Bombyx mori: one gene and its partner. The protein of the gene in region 2 purifies or fractionates together with the protein of the main gene of each other region. This does not show direct contact. Links are inferred from orthologs where the notes say so. Each region holds a gene or a part of one and is shown on either strand. Other genes may lie near its edges. The genes, in order: intraflagellar transport protein 46 homolog and intraflagellar transport protein 88 homolog.

Region 1 (9,098 bases), on a different chromosome or scaffold from region 2:
CAATGGAAAAAGACACTTCAGTAAACATAAGTGTTTCGACTTCATCAAAATCAAATGATGATAGTGCTATAACTACAGAAATACATACAGAAGATGAAGACACCATTGAAGGCCCCTTCCTTGAACTCGAAGACGATAATGATGCCAATGCTACTGTGGACCATAAAAGAACAGACATGATGAACTTTAGTGACGCACCGGCAGCAGAGAATGATGAAAATGCTGAAGGTGAATTGTTCATTGATGCGGAAGCCTTTGAGTTCCTCCTCAATCAAAACAAGACGAATGTTGTAGCCGATAGTGGCAAAGAAAGCCTTTTCTTAAAGTTTGATCCTCTGTTCGCTAAACGGATGTCTACAGAAAGTATGGCGGCTGCTCTGCAGAAAATACAACAGAGGCAAAGCACTCCTACTAATAATATAAACACACAAGAAAACTTTACTAATGATGCAGGACTTTCTACCCTCAATGTTACCTTTGAAACGGACTACCATAGCATCACGGGCGACGACCTAAACGTGACTGTTACCAAACCAATGATGGTAGTAACTCCGGCTGTGAACCCCGCGCCTACAAGAAAGTCCACAACTCCTACCAGATCGAACAGACGTTCTATTACATTCACGTCTCCCGCCATGGCCGTTATTGATAGACTTCTCTCTCTTAGTGGCAATAATACTGTCCTCGAACCGGAGCCGACTCAGTTCAGTCCAGAACAATACGAAGCGGACTTAGCACTGACCCAACTTCGCGAAATGTTAGCAGAAAAAGAGACGCACGTTTACAATTTAAGATCGGAGAGCAAAGAGCTTAAAGAGAGATTGACGAATCTAGAATCACAAATGAAAGTTCTAGAAACAGAAGGACAGCAACGGTTGCAAAAGATAAACGATTTGAACGAAAAACTCGCCGAAAAGACTAAAATTAATAAGAGCATGGCGGCAGTCGTTGAAGAATATGAAAGAACGATTGCGAGCCTGATAGCGGATACGGAACAAGACAAGAAACGACACGCAGAAGAACGCATAGCTTTGATTAACGAGAGGGATGAGCAAACTGCTCACTTGGCCAGCATGGAGGTCTCATTCAACGATCTACACAGCAAATACGAAAAAAGTAAACAAGTTATATTGAGTTATAAAGCGAACGAAGAAAAATACAAGAATTCACTGAAAGAAATGGAAGAAAACGTCACGAAAATGCATAAAAATTACGAATTGCTAAAACAGCATGCGACCTCGAAACTAAATCACGCCAACGACGAATTGCAGAGGCTGAACAGATCTCACGAGGCGGAGGTGGTCAAACTAAACGCTATGATCAAACGCAAGGAGCTTCATATAACGTCGCTGGAGGAGACCTTAGCTCAGAAAACTAAGGCGAACGAGGAACTGACCGCGATATGCGACGAACTCATAAACAAAGTCGGCTGAACTAATTTTAGACGAACATAAAAACATATTGTTGTTTTTTTATTGCGTGTCTGTGATTCGAGCTCTTGTTTCGGTCGCTTGTGGGCTTATCGTTTGTGATAAGTCGCATTAAGTTTACGTTTACCCTTCGCCAAGTTTCGTGCCAAAATATTACGTAACTCGCGGCTCTCGTGTAGCGCCAAGACTGTCTAGTGTGATACGAAATTACAATTGATTTTTGATATAATTTTTTTTCCATAAAACACTGTGATCTTGTCAACAATTATGTGCCTTTTAGAGTGTAAAACATTCAATATTTCTAAACGAGAAATGCACTGTTTGTATTATGCTGGACATAACTAAACAGTGTTTTTAAAAAAAAAAGATGATGAAGTGAATAGTCTGAATTACTTGTGAATTGAAACTTTAAATCTCGTAAAATTTTACATTGTTAAATAATTATGTAGAATCTTATTGGATATATTTGTACCTATAGAGAATAGAAAAATGTGTAAAATAAATATATAGATATCCTTAAAAGTTGTTATTCACAGAGATTACTTATTTTATGTATCTCTAAAAACAATGAAAACGATAGTAATTGGAGCTTTAAAAATGCGTAGCCATGTTTTTGGAAATGAACAACGAATTGTCGATATCTGTCTCGTTATAATAACTCGCGTTAAGATTAGTGTAAGATTGTAATTAATAAATTTACATTTTTAGTCCCGCAAAATTGTTCTAATTCATTTTAAATTTAAAGTATACCACATAAATCCCTAACCACCCATGAACTTGCATTACTATAAACCAATAAGGATTAAGGATTCCTTGCAAGTTTCATCATTATTGCGCATGTCCAATCATTTTGTAATCTGTACTCGATGTAATGTCGCTAAAAATATTAAAATGCGTACAGAAAAGTAAGTCAGATAAAAACGCTGTAAGATTGTGTTAAACAAATTTAACTTTAGATTAATGTTAGTACATAGTTTAATAGTTGTAATAAATTAGTCACACTCTTTTCTTTCCTAAGCACGAGTTGGCACGGTTTGTATGTGCCAATTATTTTTGTATGATATTGAAATTTGACATTATTTTTAGTTGAATAAAGTTATTGACCTATTTGTATGTTAGTGTTTTATTCTTCTTGCCGTGTACCTTAGTTCTGTTTATTCTAGTTTTAAAACAAAAGTATTTGTGAGAAGCAAAAATTAGGCACAGATAATAATTTCTTTCAAAGTAAACATTTCTCCTGTTCCCTGGCCAAACTAATGGATGACAAACAAGGATCTATTTTCAACAATTTTGACGCTAGGCGGGAAAATTATAACGGACTAGCTGTACCCGTTCGCTACACTGGGCATTTAAAATTAACATTATTATTTCTCACCCCCACAAAGATTCTCATCATTAACGCCCCCGCAACTGGTGTAGGGAGTGGAACACTCATATAAATATTAGCTTATCCATTAAGTACATGTATTTTCTACATGGATACCAAGTTTCAAGTCAATCGAATGCATGGTTCAGTAGTAATAACGGAACATCAGTAAAAACCACTATAGATTTATATATTAGTATAGATAATACGGATTCGGCCGTTGTACAGGCTTGCTGTTCTTTATTTTGAAATAAAAGTAGCTCTAGGAAGTTCAAGTCACATTCCCATATTTGATTGATAATTAGACGCATTTACATTCGCTGAAGGTCATGAAGAAACTCAATCTCGCAGATGAGCGAGAGGCCTTTTTTTTCCTACCTAAGATGATAGCCTTGAGAGGCTATTTCAGCGTAACCTTAACTAGTAGGTGAGCTCACGGGCCTCAAACCGGAGTGATGTACTGACCCTAGCAAGAGCAGTGCTTCGCAGAATCTACCACCGGATCGGAAACGCGCCCTACTGAGAAGATCCGGCAAGAAACTCCGTGGACTGTGTCTATGGGTCAATGTGTTCGTCGAGTAACGTTCGTCGTTCCCTTCGTCGCAAGCGACGGGTTCGACGAGGACGGTGACCGATGCTTGTGGTACCTAAAAGCACCGTTAATGAATCGGGAGGATCCGTAATGACGTGTTTTGGGCGACGTCGACTGATTACCATTCGGTGTAGGTACAGGATCGGGTATGTAGTTTCCAGCGGCCACGACAAGAGCGTTCTCATGTCGTGCCGCCTTCTCAAAGTGGCGCAATGATGCCGACTGTAGATACTTACTGACTGATCAAGTTCCAGGTCATCATGCAGATTGAGCGGCCTAAATGCAACTTTTATATGTGTGCCCATGTCCTTTTATGAACACATTTCATGTTACGATATGACGAAAGATATCAAAATCGTGCACTTTTTATATTATGGGTGTAATGAGGAACAATACTAAAAAGTAAATAATTTTAAACCATTTTACTTATTCGGCTTAATAATATTCGAAAGTATAGAATTGTCCCAAAATGAATAGAAAAAAAAAATGTAGGTATCTATGTTTTATTATTATTTGTGAATCTTGTTATTGTATATTTTTAATTTAAATAACTGAATCTTCATGGTTTAGTTTTGTTTTATTTTACTGCACACTTTTCCACCTTTGTGACCTACGGACTTCTGATTTTGGTTTGCCGGAAAAGTTAGAGTTCCCACTTTCCCACTTGCCTTTGAAGCATACAATTTACATATTTTTTACTGGTGGCAGGACTTCCTGTGAGTCCGCACGGGTAGGTACCACCGCCCCGCCTATTTCTGCCGTGAAGCAGTAATGCGTTTCGGTTTGAAGGGCGGGGCAGCCGTTGTAACTATACTGAGACCTTAGAACTTATGTCTCAAGGTGGGTGGTGCATTTACGTTAATGTCTATGGGCTCCAATAACCACTTAACACCGGGTGGGCTGTGAGCTCGTCCATCCATCTAAGCAATAAAAAAAAAAAACAATTTAAATTGAGTCGTATGTGTAATATTTCTTTGTACAGTAAACAATAAATAACAATAATACTAATTTTATAATAATATGCATTTTTATTTCAATTCAACTGTTAACTTTTTTCTTTAAGTAAAAGTCATTAGACGCGTTTGTCACGATCAGACGTAATGGGTTTTGCGTCTACAAAAAAATGAATCTAACGTAAATTAATAAAACCACATCGCAAAACTTTCGTACCAATCCGTGCCACGTGAGCGAAAAACATCCGATGAGACCACAAAAAGGTGCTATTTCCATGCAGGTTCCGCGATAGACACACCGAAACGCGGTTCGCTCGTTTCCATGGCAACTAATGACAAACAGTCACAGACGGCCAGGACTCCTGAGAATGTTCCAATGTATGACGAGACCGTGGTGGTAGACGCTAGCGAGATCGACAGCCCCTCGAGCGACGAGGAAGTGGTCAGAGCTACTATGGCCAAGTTCAATCCCCCGGTGAGACACACAGCGCGACACGACTTCGATTCTGACAGTCAAAGCGATTCGGGATCTGACAACTTCTTGGGTAACACGTCCTTAGAAGATAAGGTAGGTCTTTGTCTTTTTCTGAACTGTTTCCGAGTTTTATGAATGAATAATCGTACTAAATTTACCGACATAATATATGGTAATATGTTAACAAGAAAACTATAGATAGCACTTATTGAAATATTCGAAATAAAAATGAGCACTCTTAAATTCGAGAATGTTTTTTTTTTGCGTTCTTCGCTACCGATGGCAGGCGTTTTGCTTAATCGAAATGACGAAAAATCTATAGAAATATTTATATCAGTGAGCAGTCAACATTTATAGTTTGATTTTTGATTTTTTACTTGTGGTAGGACCTCTTGTGAGTCCGTGCGTGTGGGTACCACCACATTGCCTATTTCGGCTGCGAAGCAGTAATGCGTTTCAGGTTGAAGGGTGGAGCAGCCGTTGTATATACTTGAGACCTTAGAACTTATATCTCAAGGTGGGTGGCGCATTTACGTTGTGGATGTCTATGGGCTCCAGTAACCACTTAACACCAGGCGGGCTGTGAGCTCGTCCACCTATCTCAGCAATAAAAAAAAAATTATAATGCTAAGTTAAAAAAACAATGGCTGCGATCGGGTTAACGAATTTATACCGCACGGACATCGTAGTGCAATGATCTGTTTGAAAAAATGCACCAGGAATTTTCTATTCTCATCCGCGTTTAACGCGTTTCCTTGAGATCTCATATCAAAGTGTTTTATGGTGGCCGCGTCCAGACGTTGTACGTTGTTGCAGCTGTAAGCGGTTAGCTTCAGCAAATAATATTGTTTAGTTTATAACATCATTAACGTTTGTACCGAGAAATATTTTGAGATTCAATGATTTATATTTATTGTTTATTTAGCTCACTGCCCGTTGTAACTGTAGTGAGACTTTAGAACTTAGAACCTTAGAACATGAGTTGTAAGGTTTCACTTTTAACAGTACAACGGCTGTCCCGCCCTTCAAACCGAAATACATTACTACTTCACGACAGAAATAGGTATTGTAGTGGTACCTAACCATACGGACTCACAAGACGTGTTACCCCCAGTAAGGCTGGCTTACGAGGATCTCTGAAGATACAAGCATTATGTTTTAGGTACCAGACAAGAAGCCGCTTGTGCCCGAGAAAGCGAATGATGTCCAGAAAAACGTTACGAAGGTTACCAAGGCAGGCAGCGAGAGACCCAAAGCGTCCTCCAAACGTAATGATTCTTCTAATTCTGGTGAGTTAAAAAAATCAAATACTGCTACAGACCGCAGATAACAGTCTTTATACCTCTAAACCGATAGAGGTACTCACGTCCCACCTGGTGCTAAATGGTCACCGGAGCCCATAAGTCCTACGAACAAATGGTCTTGAAAAATAAAACCTCTAAGTGATGTTTAATAGTACACCGAAATAACCCAAACTATTCAAAAAGTCCAACTCTACCGTACAATAGACTGTCTTATCACTAAAACTGTAACTATACTGTGTAGGCTGTGAGCTCGTCCACTCATCCAAGCAATAAAAAAAAGTATAGGCTACTATATAAGGCCTTCAGCGCAAAAGTGGTCTAAGCTTACCTGAGCTTACTATAATAAGTATGGAGACAATGAGGTCTGAATTTGCTGACCTGTACTGACTGCCGACCGAACCTGTAGACCGAATGGTATACAGTCGACGTTGTCCAAAACACGTCATTACGGATCCTCCCGATCCATTAACGGTGCTTTTAGGTACTACAAGCACCGGTTACCGTCCTCGTCGAACCCGTCGCTTACGACGAAGGGCTCGACGAGCGAATTAACCCATAGACACAGCCCACTGAGTTTCTCGCCGAATCTTCTGAGTGGGTCGCGTTTCTGATCCGATGGTAAATTCTGCGAAGTAGTGCTCTTGCTAGGCCCGGTGTTAGCAACAGTCCGGTTTGAGCATCGTGAGCTCACCTACACGTTAGGGTGAAGCTGAAATAGCCTCTCAAGGCTATTAGCATAGGTAGGAAGAACAAAAAAACTACGAATATCAAATAATGTAGGATAGGCCACTTTTGTGCTGACGGCCTCATATATGGCACTATAGTATAGCGTAGTCTGAAATCAGCTTTAATCATCTTATAATTCAGAAACAGATAGCGGAGAAATGGAACGCGAGCGACCCGACCCCCTGATAGGCAGCGGTCGCAAGCGAGGCGGCGTCGTGATACCAGCTGAAGGCGCGTACGATCCCAAGCTGTATCAGGATCTGAAGGTTCCGCCTGAAATGGAAAACATCTTTCAGTATATTATGAAGTGAGAACCTATGTCTTTACAGTTTTCGTTTGCTGCACACGAGTTTCTTTGACTACGATGATAAGCATTTTCTGATGGCAAGTGATTGTGGACTCAATAGGCGTTTTGCCTTATGTGTATGCACAAACTTTACATACATTATATACGACCTGTACCCACTGCTGTCCCGTTCCATATATGTATACATATTCTTAAAATAATTATTGCACAGAAGAATGAAGTACCTTTGAAAATTAGGAGAATCTACTTTTACAACAAATTTGTAAAGTAAAATCGACAGTAAGAAACGCGAGATTAAACCGTAAAAATAGTTTTAAATCCGATTACGTCTCGCCGATACCGCAAAGTAAATAAGCTCAATGAAATAATTCTCATTTTCTTATTGTGAAAAAGTCGTTATATTAGTCCAGCCGGTCAAGTTTTAGAGTAAGAAAACAGTTAAATACGAAATATTGACTTCGACTTTGTTAAACAGGAATTTTAAATTCGACCCGGTGCAACACTATGCTACTGTAAATTTTATAGTAGTTTTTATATTTATGTACCAGCGGCCGGCGCGCTAATATGCGAATCCTCGGGCATTGATGACGTATATGTAACTGATCCATGTTACGAAAACGCTTTTTTTTGTCAGGAGGAAATCACCGGACTTCCGCCCTCCACTGGGGATGGAGGGCGGGGCATGTCGGAGTCGAACCGACTAAAGCCTCCTGTCGCTCAACAACCAGCATCCAAATCTCGCATGAGACATAACTAATGAAAAAGCAAAGGGGAGAAAGCAAAGCGTTTAGTGCGGAGCACATCTCTCCCATCACCCTCTCCCTCTTTTGTTGGTAGTCGGGTTTCAATATTTCCTTCGTGCTCTTTTCGAGATTGAATTTTTAAAAGCCAATTATTTATACTCCACTGCACCCGCGTTGGAACTTAATATGTGCCACGAGATATTTTCTCCGGTTAACGAGCGATTTTAGGTCATCAAAATAAAATTAGCAAAATGACTGTTGATTCTAGGACAGTGGGAGTTACGATAGTAATTATTGTGAACCCGTACGGGTAGATACCACTGCTCCGCTTATTTCTGCCGCCAAAGAACCACGGGTTCTGGTTTATAGAATAATCTGAACATTGTGTATCTGAAATTGTCTATTTTCCCGCTCAAATATTGTCCCAAAAACACAGCCCACTGAGTTTCTCGCCGGATCTTCTTAGTGGGTCGCGATTCCGATTCTGTGGTAGATTCTCCGAAACACCGCTCTTGCTAGGGCTAGTGTTAGCAATTTCTCTTAGGTTGATCCTCACCTATTCGTCCGCGAGAAGCTGGGATATCCCCTTAGGATGTCAGCAAATCGGTAGGTAGGGAAAAAAGCTCAAACATTGTTTGACATGTATCACGGTAAAAACATAAAGAAAAACAAAGACGAACGCATTCCTAAATTTTCATAGTTATCAAGATATCCCAGAACATCAATTATAAATTATTAACGGAATAGTTAGTGCGCTCTACATATCGTCCTTTAATGCGATATATCAAATTTACAGACATGTGGGCGAAACGCCTACAGTTTAACCTTGCTAGATCTAGAGTTAAACTAAAATTAACGGTTAACAACTCTTTAGTAATAGACATTAGGTCGAATTCGAGCTGGCAATTGAAATCTAATAAGATTATTAGCGTCAACCAGGTTAGGGTTTGCAGTGGTCCGAGGAAGGTTTATTTACTCTTTCAAAACCAATATTCGATTGTGTCTGTATTTGTAAAAACTAAGTTTACCTTTTTATCATCATAGTCGGTTGTTCTTGGCAGAGCAGTCGTGGTCATGTGGAATTCTTGTCTATCAAAGCCTTGACAGATATTCCCATAGTTTATAGATATATTTCCATAGTTTGCAAATTGAGGCTTGGCGCACGCACTCGTTAAGTGGGGTTTTAGTAAGGTCTTTCACCT
Region 2 (9,083 bases):
TTGGAATACCCAGTGCCTGTTATTGAACATGGTATGAGAAACAGGTTCCACAAGGTTCGTCAGGACTGTATTTTGATACACAACTGCATTCGTTTTTACACCTTTCTCACAAAAATGTACCTCTGTTAAGCCCCAATAAGAAACTCCCAACCATACCATGAGCGAGGATGGAAAATGACCTCGTTGGACACGCGGAATACGGTTGCTCGCTTCTTCACTACTGTGTGCGTACACCTTATCATTTTGTTTGTTGTAGCTCTCTTCTACAGTAAAAATTTTTTCATCCGAAAAAAGAATTTCCCGATATTTTTTTCCCGCGTACCGCTTCAACAAAGCGCGGCATCTCTTCAGTCTCAGGTCCATTAGACGAGCATTCAAACGATGTCCTGTTTTTCTTCGATATGCCCGAAGCCCTAAGTCTTCATTTAACACCCTTTTCACCGTGGTTCTGCTTAACCCCATCTGAAGGGCCAACAGTTTCTGCTTAAGTTTGGGATTTCTTTGAATTCGCGCCTTCACAGCTTTTATCACTGCTGGAATCCTAACAGACCGAGGGCGACCACTTCTTGACCTGTCATCTACACTAGAGTCTTCATTGTATCGTTTGATGGTACGATAAACGAATCTTTTGGTTATATTCAAATTTTTCAGTATGTTAAAAATTTGAATTGGCGCGTAACCGCAACGATGCAACGCAATAACTGCAACACGGTCTTCTTTAAGCGTCCACTCCATATTTAAAAATGAGTAAAATTCTAAAAGTACCGGTAAAATGGGGCGATTAGGGATTGAGAGGCGAATCGGGAAAAAACCGGGAAAATCTTTCGACGCTCAATATAAGTTTTATATTCGTTGCAAAATCTTCCATTTTTTGTAGTTTAATAGTAGAATGTTGAAAGTTCACAAAACAATTCTGAATATGCATGATAATACCTGCTAACTTATGAAAAATCGCGTTTCAAATTAACTTCCTGTGGTGGTAATTATTTTAGTGCTAGAAACTTTGCTCTCTTTTATTTATTTGATAATAATAGAAGACGACTATGATTTATAAACGTTATTTAGTGTTTGAACCAGCATATATATTAAAGGTAAGTCTCAGTTGTTATTGGTTTTAATGTATTTGATTAAATAAAAATACATGTAAAAATCTGTTGTTTTTGGGGATATTGGGGACGTCTTAGGTACAAATAACAACGAAAAAGGGGTCAATTGGGATGAGAATACGTGAAATGGAAACGACCTAAGTATAAATAGGTACAGGTTTATAGGATTGTCTATGTAGTTATAACAATATTTTTTAAATTTGTTGGTAAAAATCTGGTTTATTCGAAGCGAAATTGGGAATAAGTCTTTAGTTGAAATAGATAAGCAATTTAATATAAGTAAGTCGATTTTGCAGAGACATGTAACAAGATCAATGAAATCTCAAGGTGGACAAAAATGTCTAAGTAATACATAATAAAATATTTAATATTTGTTCAGAGTGGGGGTATTCATCTGATTAATCCATGGAATAACCGACACACCTAATCTCTTAACCCAGATTGAAATATCAGCACTGTCGATTGCACCTATAATTGAGGTGATGTCTGCCATGTACTTTTGTCAGTTTTTCAATTTTTTTTATTGATGATCACTTTGTTGGTGCAACTAAATAAATAAATAAATTAAAACTATATATAAAAATAAAAGTAGTGCCAACCCTAGCAAATTTCTCATTTCGTCCCAATTAACCGCAAGTTTCGGGTAAATAGGGATTACACCTATTTTTGCATTTTTTGCTTAAACTGGAATGCTAGTTGCATAATTTTAAATTAGACAACAAAGATGCCCCCAAGACTCAATCATTTTGATCCTGATATAGCATTATATACATCAACAACTACCTTAAAATTGCTCATAAAGTTGGAATTTGTCCCTAATCGCCCCATTTTACGGTATACATTTTTATTTTCATGAACAATTCGAAATTCGAATTCAATAAACTTTTTTGTGACCAGCATTCTAAAAGAAAAGTTTTTACTGTGTGACAATACTTGAGTCGTCTATTATCAAAGGTGGCAATCTGTGCATTTGGACAAAAATTTTTTATTGATATGTCAATACAGATTGATTTGAATATAATCGTCTCCTTCAAAGAATACGGTTCAAAACCTGCATTAAATAAAGGTTAATAGTTAATCTGTTATTTATCTAAGTTGTCGTTCCGAAGAGTTTTGTGACTGCCAATGAAATACAAAGTCAATAATTCGTTATTCTGATTTACCAATCATTGTCCAAAAGTCAGATTGCCGGCTTTGATAATAGTCGACTCACTTATGACCTGACTAGTTATAATTGAATAGAGTGAACCGAGTCCTTGCGCGCAAAATCTCCGTTTGCCGGTAATGATAGTCTTAGTCATGTTTTTCGGTACAAATGGTAGATTACTATTATTCCAAGGCGGTTAATATTTCGATCCCGTTCGAAAGTGTAACAAGTGCCAATACATTTAAATAAAAATCAATATCTGTTTTCTAAACCATTCATCCGATGATGAAACAGATGTCTTGCTTTTGATACCCCAGGGAAGGTTTTTGCTATAGTATATAGCATAATTATTGTCCGGGTTAGTTATTTTTCATGCAATTAGCGATAGTCACAATGCATCATGAGAGCGGATTTCACTAGTTGCAATTTATGTGCATGAGTTTTCGCTAACGACTAATAAAATGAAATAGGCAAATTTATTACGATCGTAGTTTTTTTGTGCTTTCGTTCACATACCTGCCAATGACTGGTCAATGTCGCTCTTCGACATCAGAAATGTTAGAAGCATAGCCCGTTGGGTGCCTATTGTAGGTCCCAACGACCATACGGGACGAACCCATCGTCTTGCCGCGAGGTAATTATATGCTATGGTGTGAAAGGTAGAAATCGTTATTCTAAGAAGTCGCGTTGATATTGTGCATGATGTTTATTGGTGTCAACTGCCTTTCGGCACAGTTTTTTTTTCTACCTATGCTGATAGCCTTGATAGCTTAGCGTTAACGGACGAGTAGGTGAGCTCACGGGGCTCAAACCTGGCTTCGGCACTGGTTAAAGAGAGCGATGTCATATGGGGTAGCACTGGCATGTCGTGGTGTGTGGAGGCGTTGCGCGGGTACAGCGGTGCGGGGGGCGCGGGCGGCGCGGCGGGGGGGCGGCTGGAGCTTGGCGCGGCGCTCTCGTCCCTGCGCGCCTCCCGCACCGCCCGCTCCGGGCTCGCCGTACTGCAGCGACTAAAGGCCGTTGCGAAGGCGCACGCTGAGGACCGAGTGCTACGAGCCGAGGCCAATGCTGATGCAGCCTTCGTTGCCTACGCCGTAAGTTTTACATTTCACTTTTTTTTTCATACCTAAGCTGAGAGCCTTGAGAGGCTATATCAGCGTAACCTTAACTAGTAGGTGAGCTCACGGGGCTCAAACCTGACGACGTTGCTAACACGAACCCTAGCAAGAGGCGTACTTCGCAGAATCTACCACCGGATCGGAAACGCGACCCACTGAGAAGATCCGGCGAGAAACTCAGTGGGCTGTGTCTGTGGGTTAATTTACTCGTCGAGCCCTTCGTCGCAAGCGACGGGTTCGACGAGAACGATGACCGGTGCTTGAGGGACCTAAAAGCATCGTTAGTGGATCGGGAGGATCCGAAATAATGACATGTTTGGGGCGACGTCGACTGCTTTCCATTCTGTCCGCAGGAGCGGGAATGACATTTCACAAGCACAACGCACATTATACGGTCGGGATAAGTTGGAATAATTCGTTATATCCTTAGCCAAACAAACCTTTGCTATAAGAAATAGTCGTTGTACGTTGATCAACCATACAGAGTCTCTGCCGATTAATATTTGATAAATCACTGTCTTTTGACACCAATATAGATTTTTTTCTGATCATGGTTTAAGTCTTCAATTCTGTGGTTTTTGTAATTCTTTCGACCCATTAAAAGGTAGTGTTACTAATCAGAGACATCGAATTAGAAGCTTTTTGATTCGGTCTGTAATAATAAATAATATGTAGTGCTTTAGAATAATTCGATCGTAGTTTTTCTGTTCGAGTCGCGTTAGAAACTAACGCAACCAACGGAACAGACAACAATGTGCTATTGTTTTTTTTTTGTTTATATTCAAGCTGGGCAATTGGAGCGAGGCTCGTTCACTATCAGAGTCGGCGTCTCGTGACGATCCGTACTCGTGCGCGGCGCGCGTGACGCTCGCGCTGTCGTCGCTGCAAGCGTCGCTGTCGGAGGACGCGGCGCCGGAGCTGGCGTGGCGGGAAGCAGCCGAAACCCTCACGGCGGCCACACACCTCGACCCGGCCGACCTTATCGCTGCACATGATTTAGGTATATAATATTCTTAAGCCCTTTTTTCGGTCAGGAGGAAACAGAACGCCAAACATCCGCCTATGTATAAGGGCGGCAGAGAGATATCAGAGATAAACGACTAAAATACCCTTTCGCTCAACAATCTGCATCCGAATCTCGCAGAAAACAGAACTCAGAACTCAGATGAGGCACAATTCACCCAAAGCACACCGAGGACAAGATGAAGGATTTCGCGCGGATACCATTTCTCCCCGTTGCCTTGTATTCTTACAGCAAACGGACTGTTATAAAAATAATAGTTATGGTTGTGAAAGTAATATCTTCCACCGAGCAGATGACGTTACTCAGTAGTTCGAACGTTGTTTTTCAAACTTTTCATGGCAGAACAATATTTTGCTTTTTTTGTTTTTATTGCTTAGATGGGTAGACGAGCTAACAGCCCACCTGATGTTAAGTGGTTAATGGAGCCCATAGACATCTACAACGTAAATGCGCCATCCATCTTGAGATATTATTATACGTTTTAAGGTCTCAGTATAGTTACAACGGCTGCCCCACCCTTCAAACCGAAACGCAACGCAACTTCACGGCAGAAACAGGTGAGGTGGTGGCACCTCCCCGTGTGGACTCACAAGGGGTCCTACCACCAGTATTTTTATAACTGTTACTTACAATTTGTCCACGAGTGTACCTATTATTCTGATACCTCGCGGAAGATAGCGTCATTGTCAATTTGAATGTTTGTAGCTCTGTGCCTGGAGAAAACAGCGGGTCAGGAGGGCTTGTCGGTAGCGGCGGCGCGCTGGTCGCGGGTGCGTGCGTGCGGCGCGCCGTCGCACACGCTGCGCCCGCTCGCCGCCGCCGCACTCGCGCGCCTCGCGCTCCGCCACCCCGCCGATCACGCCGCCGCCGAACACTGGTACTTCCATACTTAGCCCTCATTCGTACGGGCGTTTGAAAAACGTTGCGTTAAAATTCGGCGTTGGCGCTTTTATAACGTTCTTGATGTAACGTAATCTGTAACGCCCAACGCATAGCGCTCAAAATGCAAAACTGCGCGATAAAAAAGCGTCGCGTATTAAAAGCGCTGACGTATGAACATAATATACAAATAAATGCATCTGTTGTATTTGAACGCTTTTTTAACGCGCGCTAAAAAAACTCTCGTGCGAATGAGTTCTAACTCTCAGCCGACTTCAATAGCAATAGCAAAACTTAATTTCCAATCTCAACATTTTCGCTAGTTTGAATGTCACAATAATTGTATCTGTAGGCAGCGGCTTGGCTCTGCCCCTGCCATTGCTGACGTCCATGAGCTACGGTAACCACTGACCATCCGTGGGCCGTATGCTCGTCTGCCTGCTCGGGCAATAAAATAAAAAGAACCGAATTTGGAACTTATGAAAATTCCAACGAAAATCTGTTTGAAGAAGGATATCATTTGATTCGTTTTTGAACTGTAACAAACACGCACAGACTATATATAGATAGTATACATTAGATGTATGTACCCCATTGTAAAACTGATCAACATTAATAATGGCAATCACAGTGCAAACCATGACAACAGGTACAGTCTGATTGGAAATTGGGATGCAGGCGTGACCTCCGCCCTAGCCCAGCTCCACAGCGAGATGGGCGATACGCAAACAGCCAAACACCATTACCAAGACGTAAGTTTAATTTAAAAAAAATCTCGATTCTGGCAATAATTTAGACTGATTGACTATTTGTGCGAACCAAAAAATACATTAATAAAATTGATGCTTGACAACTTACATAGAAAATAAGCAATAAGTCCATTGATTATACAATGTTTTGATGAACCACCTTATGCTTTACAGCTTACGTTCTATTTTTAGCTGACTTCATAATAAAAACAAAATATACATACAATTTATAAAACAAGACTATTTTCTAGGTATAATTGGCTTACACTTATTTTCTGTAAACAAATCCGTTCAAAGACAATGCAGCTCTGTTTTCCTTCGAATTGAATAGTAAAAGGTAAGGATAAGGCATTTTAGGTTTATATTATTACATTTTAATTCAGGTAGAAGCAATATGGCCGTGCGATTTAACAGCCCTCGAGTGGCTGGCGGGCGAGTCACCGCCAGATGTCGCCTTGCAGTACTACAGACGAGCTGCGCGACTAGAGCCGACTAATGTAATTATTATACAGTCAATAAAATGTACAAGTACAACAAACAGTAATAAACAAATAATAAATCATGTTAAAGTAAGTGTCAAGTAAGTACAAAAGCGATAGTAAAATTGATATTATAGCAATAACTTTTGCTCGTGGTCGAACGCTATCGTGACGTCTGTATTATGCGAGAATTTTGAAGTTATGTATACGTAACGTCAGTTGGGCAGGAATTGGCAGTTAGTACGCTTTTATGGGTTGAAAAGAATGCTGGTGTTATCGAAGCTATTCAAACTTCAACATGACGGGTAAAATTGGAAGCGTCAACCAGAACGGGGGAGTGGGGTACTTATAAATACTGCAGCACCTACTTAGCAACACAAGGGCAATTGCTTTCTTTTTTATTTATTTATTGCTTAGATGGGTGGACGAGCTCACAGCCCACCTGGTGTTAAGTGGTTACATAGACATCTACAACGTAAATGCGCAACTCACCTTGAGATATAAGTTCTAAGGTCTCAGTATAGTTACAACGGCTGCCCCACGCTTCAAACCGAAACGCATTACTGCTTCACGGCAGAAATAAGCAGGGTGGTGGTACCTACCCGTGCGGACTCACAAGCGGTCCTACCAGTAATTACGCAAATTATAATTTTGCGGGTTTGATTTTTACTACACAATCTTATTCCTTCACCGTGGAAGTCAATCGTGAGTATTTGTTAAGTACGTATTTCGTTAGAAAAATTGGTACCCGCCTGCGGGCTTCGAACACCGGTGCATCGCTACATCCGAATGCACCGGTCGTCTTATCCTTTAGGCTACGACGATATAAAATGTAACGAACGATACAGGGGTAAATAGACGACGCTAGAGGAACCCGGCCCACCTATAATTAGTCATAATAATTAAAACTCGAACAGCCACAATGGGGCTTACTGATGGGCGGCTGCCTCCGAGCCACGGGCCGGTACCAGGAAGCACTCAGCCTGTATAAGAAAATGAATACCCGTTTCCCCGACAATGTACAATGTGAGTTAACTTGTTATCTTGAAAAGTCGATTTAAATAACAAAGAGAAAAATGTAAATCAGTTCAGAGTAATGATGTTGGCAAAAGTTGACAATGAAAATAAGCGAACACTCTAAAGGTCATTTTAATGTGTATTTATGCGAAATATAGTCGAATAAATAAATAAATCAGGTGAAAGACCTTACTGAAACCGCATTTAACGAGTGTGTGCGTCAGGCCTCGGTTCGCAAACTATGGAAAACATCTGTCAAGGCTTTAATGAGCAAGAATTCCACATGACCACGACTGCTCTGCCAAGAGCAACCGATTATGATGAGTCGAATAATATAGTAACTATATTTCCGCAGAAATTATTCCCTTCTCTTTAAGTTGATGGAGAAGATACTTGAAATATTTTCAGGTCTGAAATTAATAGTGAAATTGTGCGGAGATCAAGGTTTATCTGAGACGAGCACGTGGACGCGAGAGTTACAGCGTGCGCAGGCCAGGCTCAAGCAGCAGGAAAGAGGTTCGTCAAACATTACATCAGGCAAACGTTTACTTTAAAAAAATGGCCCTCACAAGCAGTATGAACAACATTCATGTTCCTACCCAGTCTTGTAACTCCAATCAAAAAGACCTGTCTTTCTCAATTTATACATTTCTTTCCCTATTTACCAACAGATCGTTTCATTTGTATAACCATATTTGTGTATTATTTACTCAAATAAAATAAAGTTTCAATTGTAATTGAAAATGACGGGAGGTAAAATATTGAAATGTTCAAATTTTTTATGTACTTTAAATAATTTAAATTGGATAGATTAGTAAGCAAGCTCACGGCTAACTGACTATACTACTAGTACTAGTAGTAGACGGCTAACCTAGAGTAATTGTTTATACATACCTATCATCTAAGGAACCATGCACTCTAGTTTGTCATATGACCCTTATTCTATTGCCATTGGAATTTCAACCTTATAGTGAACGTTAAGATAAGGGCGCCGATCACGAATAAAAATGCATCAATAATTTTGTAGTAAGTAAGACACATTAATACCAGTCGATGTTTTTAGCATCTGTGATATCTGCGGGGAGTGGATCGTCCAGAGCGAGTCTGTCACCAGTCGACTTAAGAGGTGAGTAAGCTTTATTCTACACCAATATAAAATCAAAATAAAGTTAACTTTACAGACGAAGAGTGAAATGCGGCGGGCGGTTTTATCGCTAAGAGTATAAACTCTTCTAATTACTTTTAAACAGTACTTAAAGGTTGTCGGTCAAAATGTCACCGACAAAATCAAGATCTGTCTTCGAATTCTAGATGGTGTAGTGTGGTATAACTCGAAATCAATAATCATAGTGTTGTTGCAAGGTTTTTCAGAATTCGCTTTTTCACGGATTCGTGTTTCGATATCCTTGTTACCCTAATTTTTAAAATAAAATTCACCCTAAAAATAGTGGCATAACATTTACACATCCATTGGAATCACTAAAGATGTTGAGTGGGTGCGAGTGTTGATTATCAAGATTTGTACGTGTTCATTGCGCGTTTTATAAATTTCACTAGTAAAACC

What was found.
Region 1: the proteins of intraflagellar transport protein 88 homolog (region 2) and intraflagellar transport protein 46 homolog purify together in Homo sapiens (affinity purification with mass spectrometry; 3 studies listed by BioGRID and IntAct, with this or other methods). This does not show direct contact. The link is inferred for Bombyx mori from reciprocal best matches to the Homo sapiens genes IFT88 and IFT46.

Annotation. Positions count from the first base shown.
Region 1 is NC_085131.1:2,005,710-2,014,807, forward strand, and holds the start of intraflagellar transport protein 46 homolog, read left to right. Parts: upstream 1-4,486; 5' UTR 4,487-4,663; coding exon 4,664-4,909; intron 4,910-5,978; coding exon 5,979-6,105; intron 6,106-6,987; coding exon 6,988-7,153; intron 7,154-9,098. Other genes in the region: putative leucine-rich repeat-containing protein DDB_G0290503, read left to right, coding at 1-1,433. UniProt on the Homo sapiens protein: Forms part of a complex involved in intraflagellar transport (IFT), the bi-directional movement of particles required for the assembly, maintenance and functioning of primary cilia. May play a role in chondrocyte maturation and skeletogenesis.
Region 2 is NC_085119.1:6,959,087-6,968,169, forward strand, and holds part of intraflagellar transport protein 88 homolog, read left to right. Parts: intron 1-3,109; coding exon 3,110-3,347; intron 3,348-4,157; coding exon 4,158-4,371; intron 4,372-5,100; coding exon 5,101-5,272; intron 5,273-5,923; coding exon 5,924-6,026; intron 6,027-6,406; coding exon 6,407-6,520; intron 6,521-7,419; coding exon 7,420-7,528; intron 7,529-7,927; coding exon 7,928-8,035; intron 8,036-8,582; coding exon 8,583-8,645; intron 8,646-9,083. UniProt on the Homo sapiens protein: Positively regulates primary cilium biogenesis. Also involved in autophagy since it is required for trafficking of ATG16L and the expansion of the autophagic compartment.